4 linked regions of the Astyanax mexicanus genome follow. The protein of the gene in region 2 purifies or fractionates together with the protein of the main gene of each other region. This does not show direct contact. Links are inferred from orthologs where the notes say so. Each region holds a gene or a part of one and is shown on either strand. Other genes may lie near its edges.

Region 1 (6,975 bases), on a different chromosome or scaffold from region 2:
ATAAACCGCCAACCCCTATAAAGGCGGAGTTCCCCCGAGAATGACAAACACCAGCTTGTCAGCCTAATGATAATGAGACCTGATTGGCTCTGTCTGACGTTCCGCCCTCAGAGATCTCGGAGAAGAGGGGCTCATTAGAGGCTGACTGGAAAATCAATCACTCCCTCATTACCTTAAGTGACACCTAGGAGCTGCGGAATAGTACCATCATATGAAATCTGTTTCCTGAGAGAAAAGCTACCCTGAAAGCAGCTTGACCTAGCCGGGTCCTCAAGTCCTTGAGTCCTCGAGTCCTAACAAAGCTTCAAGCCAGAAAAGCGACAGTCTTTAAAAGCTGACGCTTCTAAACAGTCTGGAACGGACTCGAGCAGAACAGTCTTAGCACAAGAATTCATCGCAATCTAATCCCACTACATCTGTTACCTTAATCTCCAAAGCACTTTCTGTTCTAACAGTATGCACACTTCTCAGCCCGAGCTACTGCTGGCAGTAGTCTAGCCTCGCTCATTAGGCTCTCATCCTCAGAGGCTTCCGCTGCATATTTGTCTTCCGTCAGCGTAGACGTGTGAGCAGCTGCTTTAATCATCAGATAAACTGACGAGATGTTAATCAGATTGTTCTAAACAGCACCAATTGCTATAGTCGGGTAGAGCAAAACCCATTAGCAAAGTCCTAAAAGACGTGACGAGCAGTCAGATTGGCAATCACGGCCACTGCAGGACTCCTTACTTACTTACTCTAATAAGATCCTTGCTGGGAGCTTTGCTCCAAGACAAAGGTTTCCCAACGCTGCTATGTTAAAGTGTAAAAGTTTAACAGCTGCGATATAAGTAGTAGTGTCTTTTCAGTGCAGCTCCAAAGAGGTCCGGTAAGTGCAATAGGTCAAATGCACCAGTGGTTACAAGGACATGGCACAGAGTATGAATCACTGGCGTAGTTCTACTGTGCGAGCTGTACCGCACTTGCACGTACACCATCCACACTATCCACTCAGGAAAAAAAGGACAGGTGCATTTGCAATCAAACTGCATTCAAATGTTTGTTTGCAATCCAACGTTTGCAACAAACAAGCTCTCGGTGTTGTGACCAACGCTTCATGGCACACGTGGAGCACAGTGTTCGGGAAGAAACAGTGCAAAGGGAGTAGAAAACCCAACGAGAACTTTACAAAGAACATTTATTTAGTAACAGTACAGCGAACCGAGCCTCGGATGGAGTCAAACCAAGGCAGCTCAGATGTAGCACCTGTTCGTCAAGAGTATGGCAGAATCCCTGTTGGAATAGGACAGTCTGTTCCAGGATTGAACGAATGAGCCGCTGCCATTTGACTGTAGACACGATGTACTGTCAATCCCAGTGTAGGACGCTGGAAAATAAGAGGTAACAAGTGTCTGTAGAAAGTATGCAAGTGAAAAACTTTTCCAGAATTACACGAAAGACGTAAAAGACGAGGACGGAAACTTCTGCAGGACACTCACGATTACGGCTTACAGGTCCGCTTCAGGTGATGTTAGTTGGTTAATTGATTAATCGGTTAATCATCAGCCAGGTTTTAGTTAGTCTTAAGGAATTAGTGCAGATGAAAAATTGCACAGTATGGCTGGCCATCCCTTGGTGGAGGCAAAACCTGAGTTACTACCACACAATTTTACTCAAACACACAAAACACACAACTTTACATGTACATGTACACGCAAACGGTAATACACAATATATATATATTTTTTTTTTCACACGTACATGTCAAAGAACCTGAATGCGACAATATGAGACAAAGTAGTGCACTACTTTTTACTTTCTGTGACGAAACAAGATTAGACGCTTAGATTAGTTTATGAGAAAGTAAACCAGTGTAAATCCTGAATGATTGAATGATGACTTGTCGATTTAGTCCTTTAGTCATTGCCAGTGATGCAACATGATCTAGCAAACTGTACAGATTGTACTGAAAAAGTACACACAAACATTAGACAAGAGTGAGACAAGAGAAGAGAGAAATAGAAGAAAAAGAGCACCAAGAATCCTGGCTTAGCTTGCTCGAAGGAACAGATCTTACCCAAGTCGCGCGAGCTTGAGCGACCTCGAAAGTTCGCTTCACGGCAAGATACGAAACAAAGAAGAAGAACTTCGCGGTAGCCAGGTTGTTGCCATGGCAATAGACTGGAGAGCAGAATCCTGCCAGACAAAATCTTTGACGGAAACCCAAACAAAAGGCGAGCCCACCAACACAAAACCTGTCCTCTCTCTCTCTTTACTGTTGGCCAATCGAAGCAGACTTTGGAGAGGGACTCTGACTCCGGCTGCAGAATAAAGAAGGCTCGGCGGGAGTCCTGCGGGGGATCAATAGTCTGATGAACACGCTGCCATGAGACAGCAAAGTTTGGCTGTCGTCTCCACGGCCATAAAGCTAATCAATGCTGACATCTCCACGCAGAGTGCATCAGATAGCATCGCTGTCCAAGGCTGGCTCTTACACAAAGCACCGTCAGCCAGCGCACCAGTCCGGAGGAAATCAAGTATTGCTCAAGGCTACGCTTCCGGACAAAAAACAGAACATTTACAAAAAGGACTGCCTGCCAAGAGCACTCGACCTACTGGAGTTTCCAAAGAGAAAAGAGAAAGTCTCTTTGCCAATCGAGTTCATTAACTTAACGCACAAAGTTTTGCATACAAGGAACCTGATTATTGACTGCATATATACGATTGAGTGTTTAAGTAACCAGTAGGCTATGCATACACACTCTCACACTCTCACACTCACACACTCACACATACACTACAGAAAAGAAAATGTAATCTAAAGTAAACAATTTTTGACATCTGGATTTTCGCTCCTGCTGCGAAAGGTTCAATCTTTCAGTCTGTCAATCAAAAAGAATCAAATATAAAAAGCTTGCATGATTATCTTCAGCAACGTGTCGGGAACAAATATCGTCCACGTTCATGTTCCTATCCTTCAATGGTGCAGTTTTTTGTCAGTGGTCATATTTGTCGTCTTGCTCCATCTTTCTCTCTCTATCTCTCTTCATCTACCTTTCCCTTGTTCTCTCGTTCGCTCAGTCAGTCTCCTCCCTCAGAGAGGAACAACGTGGTCTTGCTTTCATTCATTGACTTGCTTCCTCTCGTTACCGGAAAATAAATAAATAAATTACAAAGTCATAGCCGGGCTCTGCTTCCTCTCTCGTCCGCACGCGGATCCCGTCCTTCCCTCTCTCCTCTCCTGAAGACTGGAACGAAGGATCGGCCGGGCGATCTGCCTTTGTTCTCTTCTCCGTCCCCCGCGCTCTCTCTCATCCTCCTCTTTTTCCCACCTCCGTCTGCATTTGGGGAGTGAGCGCTGCAGCCAACTGTCCTCTGCTCTCTTCGCCTCCTTGTCTAGCGCCCTCTCTCTCTCTTTCTCTTTTTCCCTCGCTCCCTCTCTCTCTCTCTCTCTCCCTGTGCACGTTCAGACGTTGATGGTGCTGCTGATTCCTGTTTCCACCTCCCTGCCTCTGCTGCTCCCCCTCCCTCGCTCCCTCCCTCGCTGGCTGGCTGTCTCCTCGCAGGCATCAGTCATTCATGCATTTACGCATTTATGTTGGGGCTGAACTATGCAGGAGAATTATGCATCAACTATTAATTGCTAAAGGTAAAAATGAGTTAATAGCACAGCTGTTTCTATCAAATTATAAAAGAGTACCCTGCTGTACCTAGCATGTACATTAACAGTACGTTAGCTGGGGATGCACTGATGTGTGATATATTGTGGGTTGATGCTAATTTCTGATATTGCGTAACATTAATAAACATGGAATAAAACATGGAAATTAGCATTAGCTTTAGGGATGCAAATAACTATTTTATTAGTCGAATTTTAGACTAATCAACTTTCAGTAAGTTGATTAATCACGATTATTATCTTGCTCTCCATTTGTGCTTTCTATTGATGAGGCTCTAGATTCAGTGCATGTTTTACTGCATTTTCACATCTTAAATTTTAGAGCCTTAGACTTTTTTAGATTTTGCAGTACATTTTTATATAAAACTACAAACCATATATAGGAGAAATTCGCAAATGGCAGATGTAACAGATGTAACTCTTTTAAAATATCTTCAAATGAGATGTAAATATTGATAGAATGTATATATATTACTTTGGATCTGACCCATGTTGTGATCAAAAGACAGTTTGCATTTTATTTGAGTAATTTTTGTGAAAATTGGACTGAGAGGGAAATGTACAAAAACTCAATGTTTTTTTTATTCATGAAAATTCATCTATTATATATATATATATATATATACACACACACATTGGAATTAGAATAATAACATTAACATTAGAATAATAAGAGACACACTTGGAGGAGTTGCAGTTACTGTATGTGTGTTAAAGGGACACGAGCAAGCTTAGCTATGTACTTTGTTTTATATTGGTTGTCAATATTGGTTATGTGATATTGGGGCCAATAAATTTATAGTTACTGTGAGTATTTGCTAATTTAATGTATCGTGAGATACCCTACGATTCCCACTCCTGGTAGTTATTTCAGTTGCGTATTTGAGTTGTGGGTTTAGATAAGGGGAAATGTTTAATGCGTCACTGGATATTTTGAACCACTCTTTATTTTACTGAATTGGAAAAAAGAGTGTTTTTTGTAAAAACTGAAAGTAGACGGATGCTGCCGCTGATGACTGAATGGAAGGACTGAACTGACGGATGCTGGGGAAGCAGGTGAACCACCCTCCACTGGTAACCAAAGAGCTGTAGGGACAGAGGAAGGCTTGTATGGGATGAGTTAATTCCTCTTTCCTTCCTCTAATTTTTGCATTTCCTTCTTTCTGTTTCTTTCCTCTAACCTGCTGTGACCTCCTCTTCCGGCACACAGACAGAACAATTCCAAGGAAACAATTCCAAGGTTAAACGGTGGATATGTTCCCCCACACCGTCGTGGAGCTCCTACAGGAACAGGCAGGCGGCGCTGGGATGATAACGGCTGCACGCGCCGGCCGTTAGATTCTCCAGACGCCGGCGGCAGTCCGCTCAGATAAGTGACCTGAATATCGGAAGCAGTGACAACAAAGCTGCTGCAAACTACAATTCCCAGAGTGCACTAGGGGAGAGTAGTTTTTTTCCAGGGAGGATGGGGGAACGTGCACATGACTGCCGGCTGGGGGAACAGGGACATCATGTCAGGTTTCATTCGAGTGTGTTACCCGGTCACTGAGGAGCGCTGAAACGTCAGTCAGGAGCGCCGAGAGAAAAAAAGAGAAAAAACTGAGAGACTAAACGCAGCTGTATCACCGTCTGCAGCAAGAGAGAGAGAGAGAGAGACAGGGAAAGAGAGAGAAAAAAAAGAGAAAGGGACAAACAGAGAAAGAGAGAAAAACAGAGAAAGAGACATAGCGACAAAAGAGACAGAGAGAGAGAAAGAAAGAGAGAGAATGAGAGAAAGAGAGAGACAGAGTAAATAATAATAAGTTCTGTTGTTGTAATTGTATGTATGTAATCTTTATTTTAATTCATTATTATTAATTATGTTTTTGTTTGTTTGTTTTTCTGTTTTATGCTTTGGCAATAGTGTTGATTGTTACATTCATGCCAATAAAGCAATGCTGAACTGAACTGAACAGAGAAGAGAAAAAAGAGACACAAAGAGAAAGAGAGACAGAGAAAAAAAAAGACGGAGAGAGAGAGACCATGAGAGAGACAGGGAGACAGAAAGAGAGAGAGAGAAAGAGAGAGATACCAAAAGAGAAAGAGACAGAAAGACAGATAGAGAGACAAAGAGAGAAAGAGAGAGAGAGAGAGAGGGAGAGAGAGAGAGAGAAAAAAACACTATCGTTTATTAGCTTTAGAGAAACGATAACATTCAAGACACAATGTATGGATGCACTGACTATTTGGCAACCAAAATTATTCAGCCATAAAAGCCAAAAAAAAAAAAAAAAAGACTAAATATCTCGTACAGAAAAATGACTCATTAATATAAAATCACATTTAAGTGTTTCCTTTCTTCAGCCACACACTCCACAAATGGCAAGTTTAAGTTCATTTTTACGCTCTTCTAAAAACAAAGCATTCAGCATGGCTTCTCACAATCTGTATTAGCTTACTATCCTTTCACAAACTTTACTATCTGCACAAACTGTTTGAAAGTAAAGATTCGAGGTAAAAGGGCAGGTGTGAAAAAAGTGCAACTCACTTACAAACCCTTTAAAGGAGCACTGAAGCTGAGGAACAGTGCAATCAATGATGTTTCATGCAAGAAACATGACAATTATATTCTTCAGCTGCCTGAATTCACTTTTTAAAAAGTTACCAGATGTGTGAACCATGGTTGAGAGACTTGATGAAGGATGTAGTTGGGATAGATTTCCACTGAAAAGAATAAAAATTCTGCTGCATGAATTGTAGCTCCCAGAACAAAAAAATAAATAAATAAAAAATAAAAATGCAGAACAGTCCGTCATTTTCTTGTTGAAAAATGCCTTCAGTCTTCAGCCTTCGTTTTGATGACATTCTTTAAACAAAAGTTTTTTTTTTGTTTTAAAACTGATATGAAAGAATAAACGAAAGAAAGAAAGAACAAGTATCAAGCAAAGTTTCTGTCCAAATCTGAACAAGATCAGAGGAACCCACACCAAAGCAGAAGACCATCCCGTCAAACCACAGTCAGACAAGAGTTCAGACCGAAAACCAGAGGAGCTACAAAAGCAGAAGATCAGAAAGAATAAAAAACGAGAGGGGTACTGAGGATACGCACGGATGCATCCATGTGGCGACGCTTCAGACGACTCGCCCTCCACCCGGTGGTGCATGCAGGAGTGTTAGTCTGGGCATGGAGGCTGATGTTTACTGTGGTGTAATCTAATAGCGCTCAGGCCACGGCGCGTACGCAACGGCTCAACTAACCCAACTCTAACAGGAAGTGACTCAGAGGAGCTGAGAGCCACACTTTATGATAAATTGCAGTCCACCACGACCTACATTCT
Region 2 (7,532 bases):
TCCATTGACTTCCATTGAAATTGAAGTATGTTTTTTCTCTCTCCGGTAAAGTTGCTGTTTTGGAGATACTTGTTTTTCATTGTACAGCAACAATATACTGTCCATAAAAATGGCTATTGTGGGATGGGGTCTTTTCAAGAAGCCCAACTGGGTACTAGTAACAACTCATGTACAAACCCACTCAGTGCTCAGGCTCACCTGGAGCCCAACTGGAACCCACCTAGCCCTTGATCCACTCATGTGAGACCCACATTGACATTTTGCTGGGGTAATGAGCTGATCTGATCTAGAAGACACCTAAGTAAGAGGTCTATTAAGCTTTGTTTGTGTTGACATACATCTACTCTACAGGTGAACAGCAGCTAAAAGTCCAGAAAGTGTGTTTCACAGCTGTCCAGAGAAACTGAGACACTGGTGCAATCATTCTGCCACTTGCACACAATAAATCAAGTTTGTGGATGATGCAGGTGAGGAATACCAGTGTTCTCGGGTGCTCTTATGTCTGTGTTACCTTCTGTAGCGACTATGATTATATTATATTAGCACACACAGATAATCAGACTTATAGGGTGATACTGTTACCCTTTTTGAATCAACAATCTTTAGTAGTGCAAACGGATGAGGATGTGTCTAATTACCCCCAAAGTTTCTTCCTTGACATTTGAAGGAGTTTGCCCTTGCTATTGTTTTCTTTGGCTTGCCCAATGGAGGTATTAGTTTAATATTTTATGTATTGATGATCTCTTGTCCTGTTTATTACTGGATTCCTGTAAATGTGCTTTGTGACAATGTCAGCTGTGTGCTATTCAAATAAATTTGACTACAGTGTCTATGCCCACTTGGAAACCACCTAGCCCCCATTCCTCCCATGTAAACCCAACATTGGCAACGTAAACACTAAAACATGGGGCAGGTGGTCTTCCAGTCATAGCTCCTCCCACTTTTCTATTCTCTTTCTACTGTTTTCTTTGACTTGCCCAATAAGAGGTATTATGTTAATATTTAATGCATTGATTATCTCTATTGTCCCATTTGTTACTGGATTCTTGTAAATCTGCTTTGTGACAATGTCAGTTGTGAAAAGTACCATACAAATACATGTGACTACAGTGCCTATGCCCACATACCACCCATGTAAACCCAATATGAGCAATGTAAACCCTAAAACATGGGGCAGGGGGTCTTCCAGTCTTAGCTCCTTCCAAGGTTTCTTCCTCTAGATTTCACTGTTGTGTCATGCGATTAAGTTATACAATTTTATACAATTTTGTTCCATCTCACGTCCCACATGTGATGAGAATGACAATTAAGTCTCACTGAATCCTTGAAATTAATGCTTTACATATTGTTTATGTATGTAATGTGGTGTGCATTGATTCCTGAAAATCTCCTTTGTGACCATGCCAATTGTAGAAAGTGCTATACAAATACACTCGACTACAGTGTCTGTACCCATTTGGAACCCATCTAGCCCACATTCCACCCAAGTAAACAAAACATGAGCAATGTAAAAACTGAAACATGGGGCAGGGGGTCTTCCAGTCTTTAGTTTCTCCGAAGTTTCTTTTTCCAGATTTGAAGGAGTTTGCCCTTGCTACTGTTTTCTTTGGCTTGCTCAATGGGGTATTATGTGAATATTTTATGTACTGATGATCTCTTGTCTTTTTTATTACTGGATTTCTGTAAATCTGCTTCGTGACGAGGTCAGCTGTGAAAAGTGCTACACAAATACATTTGACTACAGTGTCTATGCCCACATTCCACCCATGTAAACCCAACATGAGCAATGTAAACACTAAAACATGGGGCAGGGGGTCTTTCAGTCCCAACGTTTCTTCCTCCATATTTGAAGGATTTTCCCTCGTCACTGTTGTTTTTGGTTATTAAGCTAACGTTTAATGTATTGTTTATGTATGTAATGTGTCATGTACTGATTCCTTTAAATCTGCTTTGTGACTTGGAACCCACCTAGCCCACATTCCTCCCATGTAAACCCAACACGCGCAATGTAAACACAGAAACATGGGGCAGGGGGTCCTCCAGCCAGGACCAAGCTTGGGAACCAGTGGTCTAGGAGAACACTTAGCAAAAAGCCTACAAAGCTGTGTCTGCGTTGACCACGTTGATCTAGCTAGTTAACCTAGCTACTCTACAGAAAGTCAACAGATAACTAGTTACATGGTCCAGAAATCCAGCTGTGCAAAAGCTCACCTTGTTCAGCGACGGTACCAGCAGCCCCCTCCATTTAGGCGCGTTCTCCTCGCTGAAGAAATCGTACTGGAACTGTGTCCCTTGCATGACTTCGGTGGAGCTTCAGGGCCGCCGGTCAGGGTCCGGGTCCGTCCTGCTGAAGCCCTGGCCGGTGAGCCGTGTGTCACACCAGAAAGGCAGGCGCGGGGCCATACACAGGCCCGCGGCCGGGAAGGAGCCTGGTCGAGCGGACCGAGTGGAAATAGCAGCGACCTAATGCGACCATCGCATCGTTGTGGCGAAGCGCTGAGCTGTCTGGAGTCACCAAAAACAAGACGAAAACGTGCCTGAGTGGCTTTAACAGCTCTATAAACGCCCCAAGCCGCAGCCCGAGGCTTTAAAAACAGCAACTCCAGCGAAGAAACACGCAGCCAAACAGCTGGAGCTGCCCCTGTATCGGTTCCCTGCACTCCCAGACGCCGTAGAAACGGGCTGGTGCTAGCTCGGCTAAGCTAACAATAATAATAATAAACGGTTCGCTGTGCTAAGCTAGGCTAAGCTAAGCTAAACCAAACAGGGATTCGCTTACAAACAGCTAACTAATGCGGATTCAAAACTGAAATGTGTCACCACAGTGAAAAAAAGCCCGAGTTTAACTCTCCCCTTTTCGGTACAGTTTAGGACAAAAGCGGCTCCAGCTCCTCGGAACACATTCGTCCATTTTAGCTAGCCGGTGTTCTGTCGGGTTGCGCTACCCACCGATATGTGGTGCTTTGGGGCACTGCGCATGCGCCGAACTACTGTTGTTATTACTATTTTCTCGCTATATAGTTGTTGTTTAATAAATGTTAATAAATGTGGATTAATATAAACAAAATTATAATGAATAACACATACATTATCTTATATTTAACTTTTAACCAAACATATATTTTGATTTAGATTAAAGGTGGGCAGTATTCTGATTTTGTATTGTATCCTGATACGGTTTCATATCAACAGTAGGTTATACTTTTTTTTTGACAATATGCTTCATATTTTTTATTGCAGAATTTAGTCAATACAAACATATAATCAGCATAAATAATAGTAAAAAAAACGTTTCCCTAAACACAAAAGTATCAAAACTATGTCAATAATATAATAATAAAAACAACAATGATTAAAAAGAAATAATACTATTACTAAGCAAAATAAACTACAATAAAAAATAATATATATATAAAAGAGATGTGCTTTTTAGTCCAAAGGAATATACTTTTTTTAGCATATTAAAGACATCCTCAGTGCTGCCTTTTAACTGCGTTCAAATGTCGTGTCATGATAATTTGTGTATAAATCGAGTATTGTTAAAACTGTCTTTAAATAGTTTTATCATATCTTTCAGCCCTAATTCAATAAAGCCAAATGTGTCCCATATACCTACACTTTTGCCGGGGGCATTTTTTGATAAAAGCTAATGATATCAGACTATCGAATTATCTTCCCTAATGTTTTATTAAGGCATGTCTACCTATACATAAATACTAAGGTAGCTCGCCGTGACAAGGTAACCTAAATGGACAGAACACCGGATCTACGGGAGGGTGGCTAACCATTAATTTCGCCGTGGTGCTCTAGTTCAGAGACGGCAGATTGAGCTGGTGACAGCGCAGGCGGGCGCTGGAGAGAGTGCAGGATGTATGGAGGATGGTGCAGTTAGTAAAGAGGAGTTTTTACAGGTTTAAAGCGAGCCGTTCGCTTTATTTTGGGCGGTTGTTGTGACTCGGCTGCAGATGTGGATCATGCGCAGTGGGGGACAGAGACTCTCTCTCTCCGCTGGGCTGGAGGGACAATAACAAAGCTTTCTGAGCTATTTAACGCGCTGTTTCTCGCTCAGATCGATAGATAAAGCGTCAAAAAAACTGAGGATTTCAGAATGCCCCCAAAAAACAGAGGAATCAGTTCCCTCTTGCCGCTCTCTTCAGCCAATAAACCCAATGCGATCACTACGCTGAAGAGGTCGCAGGCACAACCAATTGATGGTCGAGTAGGAAGGGATAAGAGACTATACAAGTCAATTGCCGAGAAATAGAGCGAGTCCGCTGTCAGTAGAAGGTAGAGGGATGTGCCGGGCTCTCCTGTCACCTGCGGGTCAATATCATTATAACGCGCCTGGGTCTGAAGTCCAATGAATATTATAATGTTTTAAAAACGTTCTGAAGTCTAAAATGCTGCCCATCATTCATTACTAATTATATTGGGATTTCTGTGCGACTTTACTGAAATTTGTCAAATTGAATGACCTTCATTTCTTACGATTTTTTTTATTTGCTTAGTTATTCTTACTATCTTGTTATTGTTACTATCATTAACAATCATAATTATTACTTACATTATGATTAGAATTATATTACTATAGTTATATCATTATATCAGTACATCTGAACATAACAGTATTATGTACTGGTAATTTTTTTTACCAACAATTTGTAATACGATACATAGATTTTGACGTTTTATACAGTATTTTTAAGGACAGTATTAATGTTGGGGGGAATATGGAATACATTAGGTTCTCTAAAAAAAGAATTTATTTTTTGAAAGACCATAAAATATTTTTTTTATATCAGTGTTTACATTTGCATCACTAACGTATGCTGAAAATATGAAAAAAGTGGATTTTTCCGTATGCATGCAATACTTAAAATTTGAATACATATTTTGATTCTTAATGTAAAAATATATAATTTGATTTAAAAAATAAAATGAATTTTATATTAAACACAAAAACAGTGCAGCTTTGCAGCCATAAACAACCGATTTATAATGTTTTTATTTTCTTCTTTTTGTTTCTGTTTTTCCATATTTATTTGCTATAGTATCATTAGTTTCCTTAATAATATTAAAAAAAATCTTAATAAATATTAAATATAATAAATATTAAAAAGTGGGCGCGTGAACACGTCGGCGCCGGAGTGACGTAGTGACGCTGTCATCGTGTGCGCGCCTGGCGGGAAACTGGCGCTGCTTGTGTTTCAGTTCGGAGAGTAAACACTTTATAAACCTTTATAAGCAGGTAAATACTGGGTTGTGTGGACGCGCTTCTGGTTGTTGTGCATGCTTACTAATATTTTATATAAACCTGAGGCCTGTGCTGCCTTTATATTCTCTTATAAACTGAGTTAGAGACTGAAGAGTGAGAGAATCAGGGCTGTGTTGATTCTGCTGCTGCTGCTAGTATAGTAGTTATCCTAGCTGTTAGCATACTAACCTGTAGAGCTGAGCCTCAGTACAGTAACAGCTGCATTACTACTGCTGAAACTTTAAAACATCTGTCAGTGTTGTATGACCAATCATACAAGTGTGTGTGTGTGTCTGCTACTTTTACAGGGTAGGAAACATGCAGGCTTTTCTGAAAGGATCTACACAGAGTGTTAAACCACAGAGGGATAAGGCCACAGCTGGGAGCAGTGGAGAGAAGAGACAGAAACCGGTGCCATGGGTGGAAAAATAGTAAGTGAATGACTATATGTATTTTCTTTGTCTAAAGGCATTAGAGGTGGTCAATATTATATCGTATACAATATATCGTGACACAGAAATATCATGATATTAAAAATCGTAAATATCGTGATAATAGGGCTGTTCTGTCTTAAAAGTAGTCTATTATTCACTGTGAAGCTTTAGGTGTATTTATTGTATAATTGTTTTAGTTTGCAATTTATATGCATGCACAAAATATTCTGCAATATTATTTGCTGCATTATATTATTTTATGCTGTATTATTTATTTTGCCACATTATGATTATACTGTTATACTATTATACTATATTCCTGAAATGAATGAATTTTTTTTGTTTTCCTATATCGCCAAGAATATCGTTTTCGCAAAAATACCCTGAAATATCGTGATATTATTTTAGACTCATATCACCCACCCCTACTAAAGGCATTAGAGGTGGTCAATAAGGCACTAAAATAATATCACAATATTTTATGGTATTTTGCAATAACGATATTCTTGGCGACATGACAAAAATTTAATAAAATATTTTCAAGAATATACTGATCATACTATTGCAGTAAATGTATTTTTCATATAATTGCATGTAATATGATATGCCAACCCCTGTTAGAGATTTCCACCTGATTGTAACAGAAGTAAATGATCCAACATGTCATGATACTAATAATGCACTGTATTATAGCTGCCTTAAAGTGATCCATTGTAGAAGACTGGCCTACACTTCTGGAGTAAATTCAAATTCAGTCAGAACAGCCTATTCAACAACTTAACTTAAAAGGGGTGGCAAACCATGCCGACATGCAGTATTTCATCACACTTTTAATCACTTAAATATAAAACAACATTAAAATTCTATTGTTTGCAATATATGAGTAGCTAATACACGCTTAAATCTTGTTTTTTTTTAAGCTGTATGATATTTGTCAGCCTTGCTGGATGACATCTTTAGATTCTCATTTAAAAGTATGTCCATTTTAACAATTCTGGATAGGAGACAATGCAAAATCTGCATAATGTCACTGTCCAGCAAAAGCACTGCCTGTCTTTCTGACATATTTGTATTGGTCTGGGCATAATGTAAAATACAGTTGGCAATCAAAAAGGGAAAAACAGTGACAGGCTGTATGTTGTGTTGTGGTATGTTGGTAATAAGCAATGTAAATTATATACACCGATCACTGGCATACGCCATAATATTGGTATGGTGTTCAATCAACTTATATTAGAGAGGAATTCATGTTTTCCTATTATTAGTGATGGGTGTTTTTTTTTGTAGCACTGATTTGCAACAGTATGCATATTATTATTTTGTATTGAAATATACCATTTTGGATTTTGCATTATAGCTGTTTCTTTGATAACTATGGAGTAATAGTTTCGTATAGGTTGTTTTGATGTTGTGTGGTAGTGTGAGTTGTAAGGTGGTGTTGGTTGTATAATGGTAGTTTAATTTGGCTGTCAGAAAAACGTGTCTTACTTCAGGATATGTATTTTATCCAGTTATTGTGATAACGTTAACCACAGAATTGGTCTTATGTCTGGTGCCTTTCAATACCACTATTAACAATGAATCTGTGATTGTTATGCTGAATTGTGCAAAAGTACAAGAGCAGGGTTGAAGATATGTATTGTTTTTGGTAAAATTACATCACAGTATGCCACATTATAGACTTTTGAGTTATTAAGTTATAAAACACTCAAAAGTTTTAGGGTTCTTTATAGTTCATTACATTGTTAGTCAGGGTTGCTGGCAGTGGGTGATTGAATTAAAATCATACGTACTTATAGTTTTTGATGTTTTTTTTAAATGGCACCACTGGCTCTATTTTGTTT
Region 3 (7,316 bases), on a different chromosome or scaffold from region 2:
TGCATGGGGCACTGTGGTGCCCAGAGAAATTGAACAACACTTTTGTCCAATAAATGTCCCTCAGCTCTGGAGCACCTGTGTGTTAACCTGCATTTAGAATAATGGTTTGAAACGATTGTGTTGTATCCCATTCAGTGTGCACCCGCCTTCAATCAACACAACCCATAATTTTATCCCAAACACTGGCTGACCTTTTAAAACCAACCTTTACAGGCACATATATTTACATGCAGGAGGGCCGTTAATGATGTGTGAGGTGTGTTTTATGCACACATTCACTCCTTTGTGTTTATGGTAGAAACAACATGCACTCAACTCCTCCAGCCGACACACTCAATCAGATAAAATAGACACAGACCACGTTTACACAGCAGGTATTAAGGGTCCCAAAAACACACTGAATCTGATTTTCTCAATTCCAAATTGGGCCACTTTAATATGTGGTATTAAAATTCGACCAACATTTGTCCAATTTGTGATAATGTGACTTAAATCATCAAACTTTTCAGTTTCTGAATCAGTTTCTCTGATTTTGCTATTTATAGGTTTATGTTTGAGTAAAATGAACATTGTTGTTTTATTCTATAAACTACAGACAACATTTCTCCCAAATTCCAAATAAAAATATTCTCATTTAGAGCATTTATTTACAGAAAATGAGAAATGACTGAAATAACAAAAAAGATGCAGATCTTTCAGACCTCAAAGTTTTAAGAGTTCAGAAATAATCAATATTTGGTGGAATAATCCTGGTTTTTAATCACAGTTTTTTTTTCATGCATCTTGGCATCATGTTCTCTTCCACCAGTCTTACACACTGCTTTTGGATAACTTTATGCTGCTTTACTCCTGGTGTAAAAATTCAAGCAGTTCAGTTTGGTGGTTTGATGGCTTGTGATCATCCATCTTCCTCTTGAATATAAAGTTGGATATAAATCACATTAAAAAGATAAATAATCATCAGATTTGGTGAGAAAATCAGATTTGGGTCATTTTTCTACCTGCTACCCACACTTCTACACTGATCACATTTAATATTTAAAACCCTTTAAATTTCTTTAACCACCACACTGCCGTTAGTCCGTGCTGTTCTCACACGATGCACAGGCAGCCCTGATTTCAATTAACAGACACACACCAACCCCTGGCAACAGTTAGCGTTAAGCTAATCGTTACAGTATACGTTAAAATAAGCTTCATTATGCTGCCTACGCCTACCATCCCAGCTGTCACCACCGCCTGAGAAGGGAAGAAGTGAGAGTTACGGCACAGAAAATAACCTTAATTTACTAAATTACATAAAATACATAAAAAAATATATTTCTTTAATCATGACAGTAATAACATATGCTTTGTTTCTAAAGCACTTTTTAAGAGTTGAAAATAAAAATGTAAAAAAATAATAATAATAACGTAAAATAAATAAAATAACTAAAGTAATAACACAGTGAAACCTGTAAACAAACAGTGTGGTTGCACGTTTCAGTTTTTAAGAACAATGAAAACATTTTTAACTGTCCAATGGTTTAATATGGTTAGCGGCTAATGCTAATGCTGCTGCACCCAGCCTTAGTGCTGGAGAAACTTTACTGAAAACTCACCCTTAAACAAAATATTGGAATTCTTAGCTTACTGTAAATAAATTTACTCACCCAAATAAACAGCTTTCGGAAGAGAAACATGTTTGACTTTAAAACTAAATATATATATATTTTTTGTTTTTTTAAGAATCATAGTTTTGTTTACTTGCTCACTTCAATGTAAGCATCCTTACTAGTGTCTCTTAATGCGCCTTACAATCTGGTGGTCCCTATACTCCGAAAAATATGGTAATATCTAACCCAGCCTCACTGAACCCTCTCTAAAAACGAACCCACCTTCCGTCTCCATGTCTTGACCTTTGGGAGCTTCTCCGATGTCGATGGTGAACATGACGATTTTGGGGGTCATGGTGGACATCTTGTTACTGAAGCAGAACTTGTAGGTTCCGTCCATATGAGCCGCCACAGAGTACTTCCCACTGGACTCACGGTCTCCTTTATATATCTGCTTTCCATCAGGTCCAGTTATCTGGAGATGATTTTAGATTAATTATTTAGAGAGGTAAACATGCACAAGTTTTAGGGGTTAATTTTTCTTTTATGATATAAAATGTAGATATAATACAAACATCTAAAATTATAGTACACATTTTACAGCACACCTTTACTCTACCTCTTACACCTGCACTTGCCCTCCACCTTTCCTCACCTCCACCCTCCATCACCTCAGATTCACCTTCTCTCTTCCTCATCTCCACCTTCAACTTCTGCACATCCACCCTCCCTCGGTCATCTTTCAATTTCTCTCACCTCACTTAGCTCCACTTCTTTCACCCCTACCTGTTCTTACCTCCACTCTTTCTTACCTACAACCGTCTCTCGCTTACACCTACACCATACCTAAACAAGACCTCCCTCACCTTTGACTCCTACACCTCCACCTGCCCTCACCTTTAACTCCTCCACCCTCTCCCACCTCTACCTGCCAAAAAATACCTCCTTTACCATTAAGTCCTACACCTCCACCTGCCCTCATCTTTAACTCCTCCACCCTCTCCCACCTCTACCTGCCAAACAAGACCTCCTTCACCTTTAACTCCTACACCTCCACCTGCCCTCACCTTTAACTCCTACACCTCCACCTACCCTCACCTTTAACTCCTACACCTCCACCTGCCCTCACCTTTAACTCCTCCACCCTCTCCCACCTCTACCTGCCAAAAAAAACCTCCTTTACCATTAAGTCCTACACCTCCACCTGCCCTCACCTTTAACTCCTACACCTCCACCTGCCTAAACAAGACCTACCTTACCTTTGACTCCAACACCTCCTCCACCTCCCTCCCTTTACCTCCACCTGTTTCACCTTTACCTGCCCCCCTCTCTCACCTCCACGTCTATATCCAGGAATCCTCCCTCCGCCACCTCGAACATCAGGCCCATCTTGGTACCGGAGTTCACGCGCTCATAGAAACACTCCTCCGCGTGCGCGTCCACACTAACAAAGTACCCGGATGCCGAGGCGGCGAGCGCGGCCAGCAGCAGCAGCAGCGCGAGCTCCGGGCCCGGGGACATCCTCCAGCGGGGACCGGGAACCGGGAACAGGGGGAACTAGGACTGGGGAACTGGTTTAGCCGGGCTGGATCAGCACAGAGCTGCAGCCGGACTGCCACGTACAGCCTTCTGACCGAGAGCGGGGAGGGACAAACAGAGCGGCGTAGAAACGCGAAGCTAAAATAACACAGTTCGTCGGTCGGTAATACAAACCTAATTAATACCGATATCTGATATAAACTACAACAGCACATTCAGAGAAAAACTAAATGAATCTTAACTTTTAATAAAAAAAATAATAAAATGATTTTAATGTAATAATAAACATTTAATAAACACTCAATAAATTGTTTCCTCCAACGATTTAATAAATTGTTGACTTAGGTTAATGAATTATTCCTATAATTACTAATCATATATTTTTTCTCTCAGCTAATAAGTTGTTTCATTAGTTTAATAAATATTTTTCTTTATACTGTATAATAAACAATTATCTCATTTTAAAACGTAAGTCATTCCTTCAGTTTAATTAAGTGTTCCCCAATTTTATTAAATTGTTCCTTCAGTTTAATAACTTAATCCTGCAGACAAATTAATTTTTCTCTCATCTTAAAACTTTGTTCTGTGAATTTAAGGAATTATCCATCAGTTTATAAATAATTCCCTCAGAAATAATCCCTCAATATAATAAAGTATTGTCTTAATTTAATACATAAATAATTTCTTCAATTTAATATACCCTTAATAATATGTTTCCTAGGTTTAATGAACATTTTCTCAATTTAACCAGTTATTCCCATTATTTAATACATAATTCCCTTAATTGAAGTTAACAAGCTGTTTTCTTCGTTTAATTAAATGTTCCCTTAATTTAATAAATCAATCATACATTCATTAGTTTAAATTCTTTAGATATATGTTTTTCTACCTCGTTATTATTAGTATTATTTCTAATCTATCTCAGTGTTATATCTTAATGTTTTTTATTTTACAATTCGTGTATGTCTTATGAGTCTTATTTGTATTTAAAATATAGATGCAATACAAATAAATACCTTCATATTTTGCATGCTGTAATTAAGTGTGCTGCCTGCATTATCCCAAATTGCGTGCTAATCACTATCACTATGTAGTCAGTAGGGGAGGAGTGTGCGGTCTGTGATTTGGGACGGAGCCCCGCCGTGTGTTTGCACCGCTAGAGGCCGCCGCCGCTGAGCGCGGGCAGTCCAGCCGAGCCGCCGTGTCGCATGTTCGGTGACGTTCTCCAACTCGACTGGAAAGGTCTCCGATGCCGAGGCCTAGCGAGCTCTGTAGCCGCTCCTCTGATCCGGTTCCAGCAGATGAACACGGTGCCGAACCCGTCCTGAGCGGGCCCGGTTCTACACGGCGCGGTCGGCCCGGAGAGTGAAGTGACTGGAAGCGGAGCGGAGCGGCGGAACCGAGGCTGGGGAAGATGACATCCCGGAGGTGAGGCTGAGGAGAGGAAAAACAAACTAGTGTCAGATGTTTCTGAACCGGGGAGAGAGCTGGGAGTTCGGACAAGGGTTCTGAGGACGTGTTTGGATCAGAACCAAAGTCCAAAAATGGAAAAGTTTCAATTGGTGCGGAGAGGAAGCTGGGAAACCGCTTCAAACTTGGTTTGTGTGCTCGATTACTTAGTTTTAGCTGATCCAGGTCTGGAAAGTGAGAACCCGCTCCGGGATTTCGGTTCAGCTGCTTAGGCTGCTCTGCTGCAGCAAAGAGACTGATTTATTGAATTATGAGAATGAGTTATTAAATTATGGGAATTCTTTAATAAATTGTTGGTATGATTTAATAAATGATGAGAATGATGAGTGATTTATTAAATTATGGGAATTATTTATTCAATTATGGTAACGGTTCATTAAACTTGGGAAACATATTGTTAAGAGCTTATTAAATTGAAGAAATTATTTAACCATTTATTAAATTAAGTTGTTTATTAAATTCAGGGATTATTTCTTAAACGTAGGTGATTATTTCTTAAAATTACGGAACAATTTATCAAGACGAGAAAAAAATGTATTTGCCTGATGGATTCATTTATTATTTGAAAAAAACAATTTACGTTTTGAAAGAATGATTTGTTAAATAGAGGAAATTATTTATAAAACTGATGAAACAACTTGTTAGATGAGAGAAAAAATAGCTTTAAAAAAGAAATAATGATTATTTAATATTATTATTTTTTCAATAGAGTGAGGACTAATGGACTAATTTATTAAACTATGAGATTAATTCGTTAAACTAATTGGTCAATTATTTAAATTAAGGCAATAGTTTGTTAATTTGAGGAAACAATTGAGCTGCAGGCGAGCCGCCAAATCCCGGAGCGGATTCTCATTTTTCGGACCTGGATTAGGCACCGGACTGGATCCCTACTTTCTACAACTATTTAGTTAGCAGTGCAGTGCGCTAAAGCTAAACAGCTAATTGTAGCTAAGCGAAAAAGGCTAACTAAGCTAATGTTCAAAAATTAAACATTATATTTCATACACAATCTAAACAAACATTTAAACACAGAAAGCAGCCAATAAAGCAATGAAACACCGCGTTTTTGTCGTTTTTACCACAGCTTCTGTGCTCAGGGACACGTCACAGCTAGTGCTAACTACACAGCTAACAAGCTAACTAGCTAACTGGCTAACGACTGAACGCTATCACGTTTCTACGACTTTTTAAAGCTTTAAACATTTTCAAAACGTTGTTAAAACTTGCTCACTGCCTCCTATAATTGCGATATATCGCTAGCTAACGTTGTCAAAACGTTCTGAGAAGAAATGAGTTAGCTGAGAAGTTGGCTAGCTGCATTTCAATGTTGTGACAACGTTTTAGGCATCAAAACACTAGCGTTAGGTTGGCACGACGTTGCACACTTTCTTGCAGTTGTGTTGAAAGGTCGAGACAACGTTAAGTACTTTTCTACTCGTTTGATGCGATGTTTCAGACTCTGAACTGAAAAGGCTTCATTTTGTTGACTAACGTTAAAGTTTTCAGGCCTTTATAAAACTACCAACGTTCTTACGACGTTTAAAAAAAAGGTGGTGCTGTTTGTGTTGTCATTGAAAGTTAGGAAGATAACTGACGTTAACCTACTGACAAGTAGTTAGGTGCATATAAATGTTGTGACAACATTGTGTGCACCAAAACAAAAGATTGACACAACGTTGCACACTTTTTTGCTGTTGTGTTGAATGGTTGAGGCAACGTTGTAAACGTTGTTTCAGAAGCTTCAGGTTCAGGCCTTTTTAAAACTTTCTTACAACATTGTCAAAAGGTGGTGCTGATGTGTTGGTTGTCAGAAAGTTTGTCACAACGTTGTTATAAAGAGTACTAGATTGCTGTTAGAGAGACGGCTAATGTTGTCGGAACGTTCTGAAAAGAAATTAGCTGCATATCGTTGTTGTGACAATGTTTTGTGCACGTCTTTTTATGCAACTTTCCAACTTTGCTTCAATGTTTGTGGTCTCAAAAACAGTGTGGCAATGTTGTCTAAAGGTGGTGTTAAAAATGTTGTAGCAATGTTTTCTACTTTCCTACAACTTTGGTGGTGGTGTGGGAAGTTGGTGTTGTTTACATTGTCTCAGACAATATTCTCACAACATTGTCTACTTTTTTACAAGTTTGCTACAATGTTGTGAGCAGCTGGTGGTGTTTATGTTGTCTCAACCAACATCGTCACAACGTTGTGTACTGTCTTGCAATGTTGCTACATTACTGTAGTCCAAGAGAGGTGTTGTTTACATTGTAACATCAAAAATGTTGCCATAATGTTGCCAATTCTTGAATGTTGTAGATAATGTTGTTACAACTTTCAGAGGAATTGCATTTAAGCATTTCAGTGTTGAGAAAATGTTGTGTTGACACAACAAAGCCTACTTTCTTACAGTGGTGTGTGTGGGAAGATGATACTGTTTAACATGCAATGTTGTTAAAACCTTGTCTACTTTGCCATAACAATAGTTTGACACAACATTTGTATGACATTGTCCACGTGTCTTAATACTGTTTCTATTGCCTCAGACAATGTTGTCACAATGTTGCTTTTTTATAATGTTGTTACAACTTCGTCAAAAGGTGTCTGTTATCGCCGTCTTAAAAAATGTTGACACAACATTGTGTAATTTTTAAAAAATTTCAGTGCTGAAAAAAAAGTTGTGTTCACCAAAAAAAAATAGGTTGGCACAACATACTTATAAC
Region 4 (7,685 bases), on a different chromosome or scaffold from region 2:
ACAGCGTGCTCCTCGACCAGGTCTGTGCTGATAAAGTTCCCCTCCGACCCGGAATCTACAAGCGCTGAGACACAGAACGCATCTGTTGGAGTGGTGATAATTACAGTTAAATTGAAACATTTAACTCTATGTTCGGTACATACCACGTTAGCGTGTGGAGTGGAAGAAGGGTGGTAACAGGGTTAACTACCGGGCTGGGAGTTTTGGGTAGATGAACCCCGGAGATGACCAATGGTCTCGGATTGCTGCTGCTGCTGGCTAGTTTGCTGGCGTACTAGCTCGTCAACGGCCTGGGTCACACCAGAGAGCGTTTGCTGGTGATGACCGAGAAGCCGGCCCTGGTTAGCCAAACCAGACTTAATAGACTCCGTATCCACAGTCTCTGTCATAATGGCTGTGTATCTTGTCAGGGCCAGACAAGAACCAGACTGGTGCGGATACGATAAAACAACTTAATTAAAAGTTATAGAGCATACAGGAGTAGTCAACGTAAACAGGGTCAGTACCAGTGAGGCGCAGCAGCAGCATATATATTTTTTAAAACAACCAGAGTGTTTTAAGTTTATACATTTATCTTTGAGGACAGATCTGAACACTCTTGATATTTTAATCTCAGTATCTTCAGGAGGAAGAGTCACCTGGAATAGTTTTCTCAGCTTCTTAAAGGAAGTAATTCCTGGAGGTGCTAAAGAATAGTTACTGCTTTTCCTCCAGCTCCAGCTCCTTGCAAATCATCATCTCAGTTGGGTTAAGGTTAGGGGATTGTGAAGGCAATGTACCTTTTTGTTTACTAGATAATTCCATATGCATCAATTAATAGTTTTCATGGTTTTAATATTAATCTACAATGTAGAAAATGAATTAAATAAAAAAAAGAAAGAAAAAACATTGAATGAGACGTGTACAAACTTTTGACTGGTACTTATATATTTGTAAGTTGACACACCCCAGAATTTGCTCAGATGAAGAAGCACCTGATTATGAAATATTATTAAATATTACCTGCACATTCACCGATACCCTTTACAGTACGTGTAGGTGGGATAAAATACACCACGGGCGTCCCCTCCACTAGACCTACAATAGCAGGAATTTTCCCAATAGCATGGAAAAACATAGTGTGGTGCTGTAATTCCTGAACTGGTGGGAATTGTGAATTGGTGCGTGTATTCCACAGTAACAGCCTGATTACAGAATCCACGGATTTGTAGATTTTGCAGCTTTGCTTAAACCTTGAGCATCATCTGCAGGAATTTATTGATTGCATTCCTTGCAGCAGTAATGTCAAGAACCATCGCTAATCTGGATTTTAATGATTTATTTGTGGGTTTGATTGGTCAATTCCAATATGGCCAGTTAGACTACAAACCACAGACAAAGTTGGCAATATAATATAATATAATATAATTGATTCAACCACGGAAATAATATTTTTTTCTCCCTCAAAATTGGTATTCCCTGATGTTTAAGGTGCTGAACTACGAGCAGAATGCCCTTTAAGAAGTTCTTTATGAGTTAACGAAGTTCTTAGCGTTGCGAAGGTTTCGGGAAACTCACCCCAGGACTGTTATCTTTATATTTATATTTCTGTGATACTTTGTAATTTTGTTATGAACATGATTCTATGGAAGGCATTCAAATTTCTATGCATCCTTTGCATCCTTTACTCACTTCTGTTAAAAAAATTGGCCTTCAGGAAACAGAAGTCAGATTCACTAGTCAGGCTGAGAGTTGACTTGAATTTACTCCTATGCAGGGCATTGACCACAATTATATCTGAACAATCTCTGAACCAGCTAAAGATTTGAGATATTCATATCCATAGTTTGCATATAGAGATTTAATGGTTGTATATAGTTTGTTTGTTGGTTACATGCAACTTGACAGTTAAATACAGGACTGTGTGTAACAATCTTCAGGCCTATAAAGAAGCCTTTCCTTGTTTTCTTTGTTCTGAGTTCTTTTTAGAATACAGGCAACCAAATATATAGTTATAGTTATAGTTATATAGTTTGTTTGTTGGTTACATGCCTTTCAAGGCAGAAATGTTAACCATTTGTCACTTTGTATATGTGTATAGTAGTTAATTGAGAATAAGGTAACTGTTTATTAACGTGTGCTTATAATCTTTAGATTATTTGCTTTACTGTACAAATGTATAAAAAACTAGATTGTACCAGTGCATATTTCATTACATCCACATGAAATTCCTACAATCCTTAACCAGATTTTCAATTAAAGTACAGTAGATGTCTTGATGATTTTTTTTGGTATTTTCATAACTTTCTCCTCTGTTTCAATATAAAAATGAGATTTATACTGTAGAAACCTGTAAAAAATTTAAATTTCTGTTAAGAATATCCCACGAAACATATTGAATATAATAAGTTTTATTTTGTTTTTCTAAATGACCAACTGTTTTTACAAAACATATTTGTATCCTCACTGATTCCTATTTCCATTTTTGAATATTATATTCTCAGCTTAGGTCTAGATACTCTTTTTTTTCACATAACAGAGTTGTTATATCAGTATAATTCTAACCATTTAATTTAATTGAAATCAATCACAATTAGAAAAACTTTAATTTACATAAGCAAAGTATATTTACGTCTAAGTTTGAAGACACCTGCAACATTTTTATTTCTGTACTTCATACATCAATGTTAGCCAGTATTATTAGCATTAAAAAATATGACTATGAACATGCCCACCCAATATGTACTTCTGCCCCCCAAAGCAAAGCAGTCTAGAACCGGGGCTGAGTGTGGATATATGAATAACTGAAATACCTAAAATACATTGAAAACCATGGATGGATGGAAGGGATGGGTAGAAAACAATGACAATACAGCAATGATAATAATAATAATAATAATAATAATACAAAGAAAAATATGTTATTTAACCATTTAAATGAGTTAACCAGGCAACCCCCCACCCGACATCAAAGAAAACTGTATAAAACGTACAAAAGCATTTTACATTAAGAAGTTTGTGCAATAAAAATGCACATTTAGAATCAATCTTAATGTAAAGTTACATAGTGTTTGTATGAGAGCCATTTGCTTATTGTAACTATTTTAAAATTAAACTTATTTTTTAAATACCTTTTAAAAAAACATACAGGGGTTGGACAATGAAACTGAAACATCTGCCATTTTAGGGTGGGAGGTTTCATGGCTAAATTGGCCAATCTTTTTTTAATTGCACATTGCACCAGGGTGTAAAAGTTCAATTAGCAGGGTAATAGCAGAGTTTTGCTTAAAATATTGCAATGCACAAAACATTATGGGTGACATACCAAAATTTAAGAGAGGACAAATTGTTGGTGCACGTCTTGCTGGCGCATCTGTGACCAAGATAGACCAAGTCTTTATGATGTATCAAAAGCCACGGTATCCAGGATAATGTCAGCAAACCACCAAGAGGGGCGAACCACATCCAACAGGATTAACTGTGGATGCAAGAGGAAGCTGTCTGAAAGGGATGTGACAGTCCGGATTGTATCCAAAAAACATAAAACCACGGCTTCCCAAATCACGGCAGAATTGAGTGTGCACCTCAACTCTCCTGTTTCCACCAGAACTGTCCGTCGGGACAATAAATTATTGTGGACCAGGTGTTTCAGTTTCATTGTCCAACCCCTGTATATTTTCAAGCCGAAGATGTTTACAAAACTCATTTGACATTTAAAAAAAAAAGCATGTTTAAAAGCAAGTCCACTAATTCCTTTGATTTTATCTCAAGAAAGTCTTTAATCTAAAGAAATGGTTGGCTGCTTGTTTAAATAATTTATATTTATGACAAAAAATACTCATTCCTGTTTCTTTCTATGTTTTGAGTAACAGGACTTAAAGTAACAGGAGTTGTTATCATAGAATTAGCTAAAACATATCTAAAAATAGATAAATGGTGGCTATGTTAATAGCATGAGGACATTGTAGTGATTTCCCAAAATGTATTTTAAAAATAAACAAATAAAATCTAAGAATTAATTTAGGTAACAGGACATAGTTACAATAAGATGAACTATACATAAAACAAATGAGGGAACTTAATTTTGGTCCTTTTGTTTTTTATTTAGATTTTCTATGATTTTATGCTCTTCAGAAGAACCTACTGATGTAACTTCCTGTTGTACATGTGACCTGTAGAATGTTCCAGATGTTTAGATGGGGTAATGTGTTACAGTAACAGGATTTAGTAAAACTTAATGTGTGTTATTGTTTTTAATGTGTATTGTATTATTTTTTAATGTGTGTGTATTTTAACTTAAATATTATGAATTTGTTATGCAAAATCTATTTTAAAGCATAGATGGGATTTGGAGTCACAACAATGCAAAAAAAATACATCTCTGAAGGATTTTATCATTTCATGCTAAAGTTTACAGTTAGAAAGGGGACATTATTTTTTTTAATTACATGTCTTATTTTTGCAGTTAGGTCAATATACAAGACAGTATGCTTGGTAATAAAAGTTATTTTAAAGTTATTTTATGTGCACATTTATACATGTAATTTCCTGGGGACAGACAAGGCGGAATGGCTGCCCTTTTCTTCTGTTCATGCTGTGGGTAATTTTGGGTTGTAGGGCTGGTGTCCGCCTCTAGAGGGCGCTAGAGTCTCGGTCTGTGGAGAGGTGAGGCGAAGAGCTCTGAAACCTAACGGAGAGGAGCTCATTCACGCCTCACCTCTCTCAGAGAGCGCCACGCTCTCATACACCGTCTTATTTTACTGAACACTCACTCACTCACACAGTAGAGAGGTTTATTCAGCTCCGACTTCAGGAGGAGAGGTGCAGACCCGGACTGACCACGGACTCCTCTATAACCATGAATTAGCGCCGTGTGGGTCACGATGCGAGGCTGAGAAGTTGGGGAACAGCTTGATGTCTTTGGAGTAAGTTAAGTGTTCGCGTTTTTAATCGCTCCTGAAGGGGAATGTGTTGATCACGGGTTCTTGTGTTCAGGCTCTGTGTATCTGTAGACAGATCTCTGTTACTGTGGAGCTGAGGAGGAGTGCTTTCCTCTAAATATTCTCTTTTTATTACTCAGAATCCCCAGCAGTCCTAGGTTTGGGTATTGTGTTGTAATTTGTTGTGTTTTATTCTTTACAGTGAGCTGGTCGTCGTGTGTGTGTCTGTGTGTGTCACACACCTGCCTAATGGTAACTAGCTATTCGGTTGCCATAGCAGAAGGAGACTCGCAAACCAGTGCCCGCTTCTCATTTCCCACCTGTTTTCTGACAAGTCCCGCCCTTCTTTCGTTGTGATTGGCTATGAGCAGTCCGCAATTACTCTGTGATTGGCTAGTAGTGCACTCTCACGAGCAAATGACCAATCCCAGCGCGTTGTCCGGGCTGCTCCTGAGAAAGGGTGGAAAACAAAGAGAAAAATAAATTTCTTCCTTTTTATTGGTCTTTATTTGGGCTCAGATTGTGAAACGGTGGATAATGTCCGTTTTTGCTTCATTATATGCTTATTTGGAAGAGATTGGCCACTGGATAAGTCCTGTTGTTGTAGGTGAAGTGTGGTGTTTTCTTGGGGTTGTTAGCTAGCTAAATCTCAGTCTGTCAGGTCCATATAGGCAGGAGGTCTTGTGAACATAACCTTGCTAATGCAGCTAGTCTTCCAGAGAAATAAAACATACCCTGTGCTGGTAAAGAGCAAGATAACGAACTAGCCACTCAGCGTAGAGTATGTGTTTTTTTCTGGTTGAGCAGCTAGCTGGTCTTGAGCTTGATTTTTTTTTTTGGCAGGGAAGTTTCTTTTCTTTAAGGTGAACAGTGGAGATAAACATGTCCTCTCAACAATAACCTACATACGCTGAATAAAATGCTAAAGTGACAGGACGTAGGTTAAATTTGGGGCATTTAGAGATATCTCTGCCCTGGCCAGCATGTATAGAATGTAGTTAAGTACATTCAAAACGTGCACTATGGTGCAGCTCTTGTATCAGTGCCATAAGCACCACTGCAGTTGCTCAAGTAACCAGTAAAGGCCTGTTGTGAACAGAAAATCCCGCAGGAAAAGAATTAATATATTTGGTTTTGCATTAGGGGTTTGCCATATTGTATGGTTCACAATAATATCGCCAACATTTTTAAATATTGTGAACGATATTATACCCTGAAATATCGAGTCTTATATCATCCACCCCTAATTATCACATCGGTCGACTACTTTGTTTTGCATTTTGTAGCAAAAGAAAAATGCACAGTTCTTATTTCACATTATATATCTACTTGACACAGATCATGTCTGTCCAGTATCATTTATTTTACTTTAGTCCTGGATATATGTAGATATTTGAAGTGCATTAATATTATCATGACATTCTAGATCATTTACTTCTGTTACAAATCTGATAAAATTCCTATTTTTTAATATTTTAGTCATAACATTTCATATTGTATGCAATATCATATCATATTGTATGGAATATTTTGTTGCACTAGTGTATTCTTAAAATATTTTTGTTTAATTCAGTGTTTTGTCATATTGCCAAGAGTATAATTATCGCATAAATACCATGAAATATTTGGAATACATTGGAAACGCAATGCAAGATGGGTAATGGGCTCACTTACACACTTACACTTAACTTGGTCTGTGTCTCCGAACATTCCCAAATATAACAGATTACATATTTACTCAGTAATTATCAGCAAATTCCTTGTTTAAACAAGATCTGGACATTTTAATGACTTTTAAATCCCATGTTTAGCTGTTTCTATCACTTTGCAAAAATAGTCGTTAACTAATCGGAAAAGTAGTGATCAGATTAGGTTGACTAATCAATAGTTGCAGTCATATTTAAATGTAGAACAGTGTCCTGGAAGAACTAGCTATATTTTGTTGTCCACTCAATTAAATTATAAGTTTAATTATATATATAGTTAAATATATAGTTAAATTTTAACTTTCAATTCAAAGTTTGACCTCTGACTTTTTTTTTTACCTTTTTTGTCTTTGGGTGACACTACAAGAAAACACTTGATATGATGCTCAAAAATTGTCTCTTGCTACCATTTAGTAATTTTCTCTATTTTTGCTAATAAGAAGACTAAAGTGTTTTGTGGATTCTGCAGTGAGATGTGCAGTTTGCAGTCTGTTGTTTTTAGAGGTATAAGAAGAATAGAACTCCTCTTCACATCTCTACTTTCTAGACAGTCAGTGTAGCATATTCAAAGTTGTTTAGATTCATACTTCTGCTTTAATATTTAAAGGTTTAAACGCATACTTCTCACTATACAGTTCATACATTCCATGAAGTAAAAACATGTTGAGTTCATGGTTTCTCTGTGGTGAGAACCTTCTCATTTACCTATCTGACTGTTCAGCCTACCACAGGTGATCACATACACACTGTTCATGTACGGTAAAAGAAATGGCTTGTTTAATTCTAAGAGTGAATGCATAGTTGCATAATGAATGTGTAAGGATGATCATTTTGAAATCCAAATACACACACACACTGTATGTAGACCAAAATACAAGAAAAACATAGAATGTTGGCTACTTAAGGATATACTCAATATTGTAAGCCTATGGGTTGCTTTGTTTGTACCTTAGCAATTTACATACTTAGCAATTCACAGCATATGTGCTTCTATGTAACCCACTTGTTTTTAGAACTGTGAGAAGAATATAACTTTGCTTCACATCTGTGCTGGATATTC

What was found.
Region 1: the proteins of sos1 (region 2) and shc1 purify together in Homo sapiens (affinity purification with western blotting; 14 studies listed by BioGRID and IntAct, with this or other methods). This does not show direct contact. The link is inferred for Astyanax mexicanus from reciprocal best matches to the Homo sapiens genes SOS1 and SHC1.
Region 3: the proteins of sos1 (region 2) and ptpn11a purify together in Homo sapiens (affinity purification with western blotting; 4 studies listed by BioGRID and IntAct, with this or other methods). This does not show direct contact. The link is inferred for Astyanax mexicanus from reciprocal best matches to the Homo sapiens genes SOS1 and PTPN11.
Region 4: the proteins of sos1 (region 2) and eps8a purify together in Homo sapiens (affinity purification with western blotting; 5 studies listed by BioGRID and IntAct, with this or other methods). This does not show direct contact. The link is inferred for Astyanax mexicanus from reciprocal best matches to the Homo sapiens genes SOS1 and EPS8.

What each region holds. Positions count from the first base shown.
Region 1 is NC_064413.1:2,311,891-2,318,865, forward strand, and holds the start of shc1 (SHC-transforming protein 1), read right to left. Parts: upstream 3,021-6,975; 5' UTR 1-3,020. UniProt on the Homo sapiens protein: Signaling adapter that couples activated growth factor receptors to signaling pathways. Participates in a signaling cascade initiated by activated KIT and KITLG/SCF.
Region 2 is NC_064423.1:31,884,111-31,891,642, reverse strand, and holds the start of sos1 (son of sevenless homolog 1), read right to left. Parts: upstream 3,016-7,532; 5' UTR 2,299-3,015; coding exon 2,212-2,298; intron 1-2,211. Other genes in the region: rfc4 (replication factor C subunit 4), read left to right, coding at 5,573-5,685.
Region 3 is NC_064427.1:889,908-897,223, forward strand, and holds the start of ptpn11a (tyrosine-protein phosphatase non-receptor type 11), read left to right. Parts: upstream 1-4,296; 5' UTR 4,297-4,548; coding exon 4,549-4,562; intron 4,563-7,316. Other genes in the region: tmed2 (transmembrane emp24 domain-containing protein 2), read right to left, coding at 1,219-1,239, 1,878-2,070, 2,931-3,116. UniProt on the Homo sapiens protein: Acts downstream of various receptor and cytoplasmic protein tyrosine kinases to participate in the signal transduction from the cell surface to the nucleus. Positively regulates MAPK signal transduction pathway. Dephosphorylates GAB1, ARHGAP35 and EGFR.
Region 4 is NC_064409.1:30,838,576-30,846,260, forward strand, and holds the start of eps8a (epidermal growth factor receptor kinase substrate 8a), read left to right. Parts: upstream 1-4,660; 5' UTR 4,661-4,904; intron 4,905-7,685. UniProt on the Homo sapiens protein: Signaling adapter that controls various cellular protrusions by regulating actin cytoskeleton dynamics and architecture. Depending on its association with other signal transducers, can regulate different processes.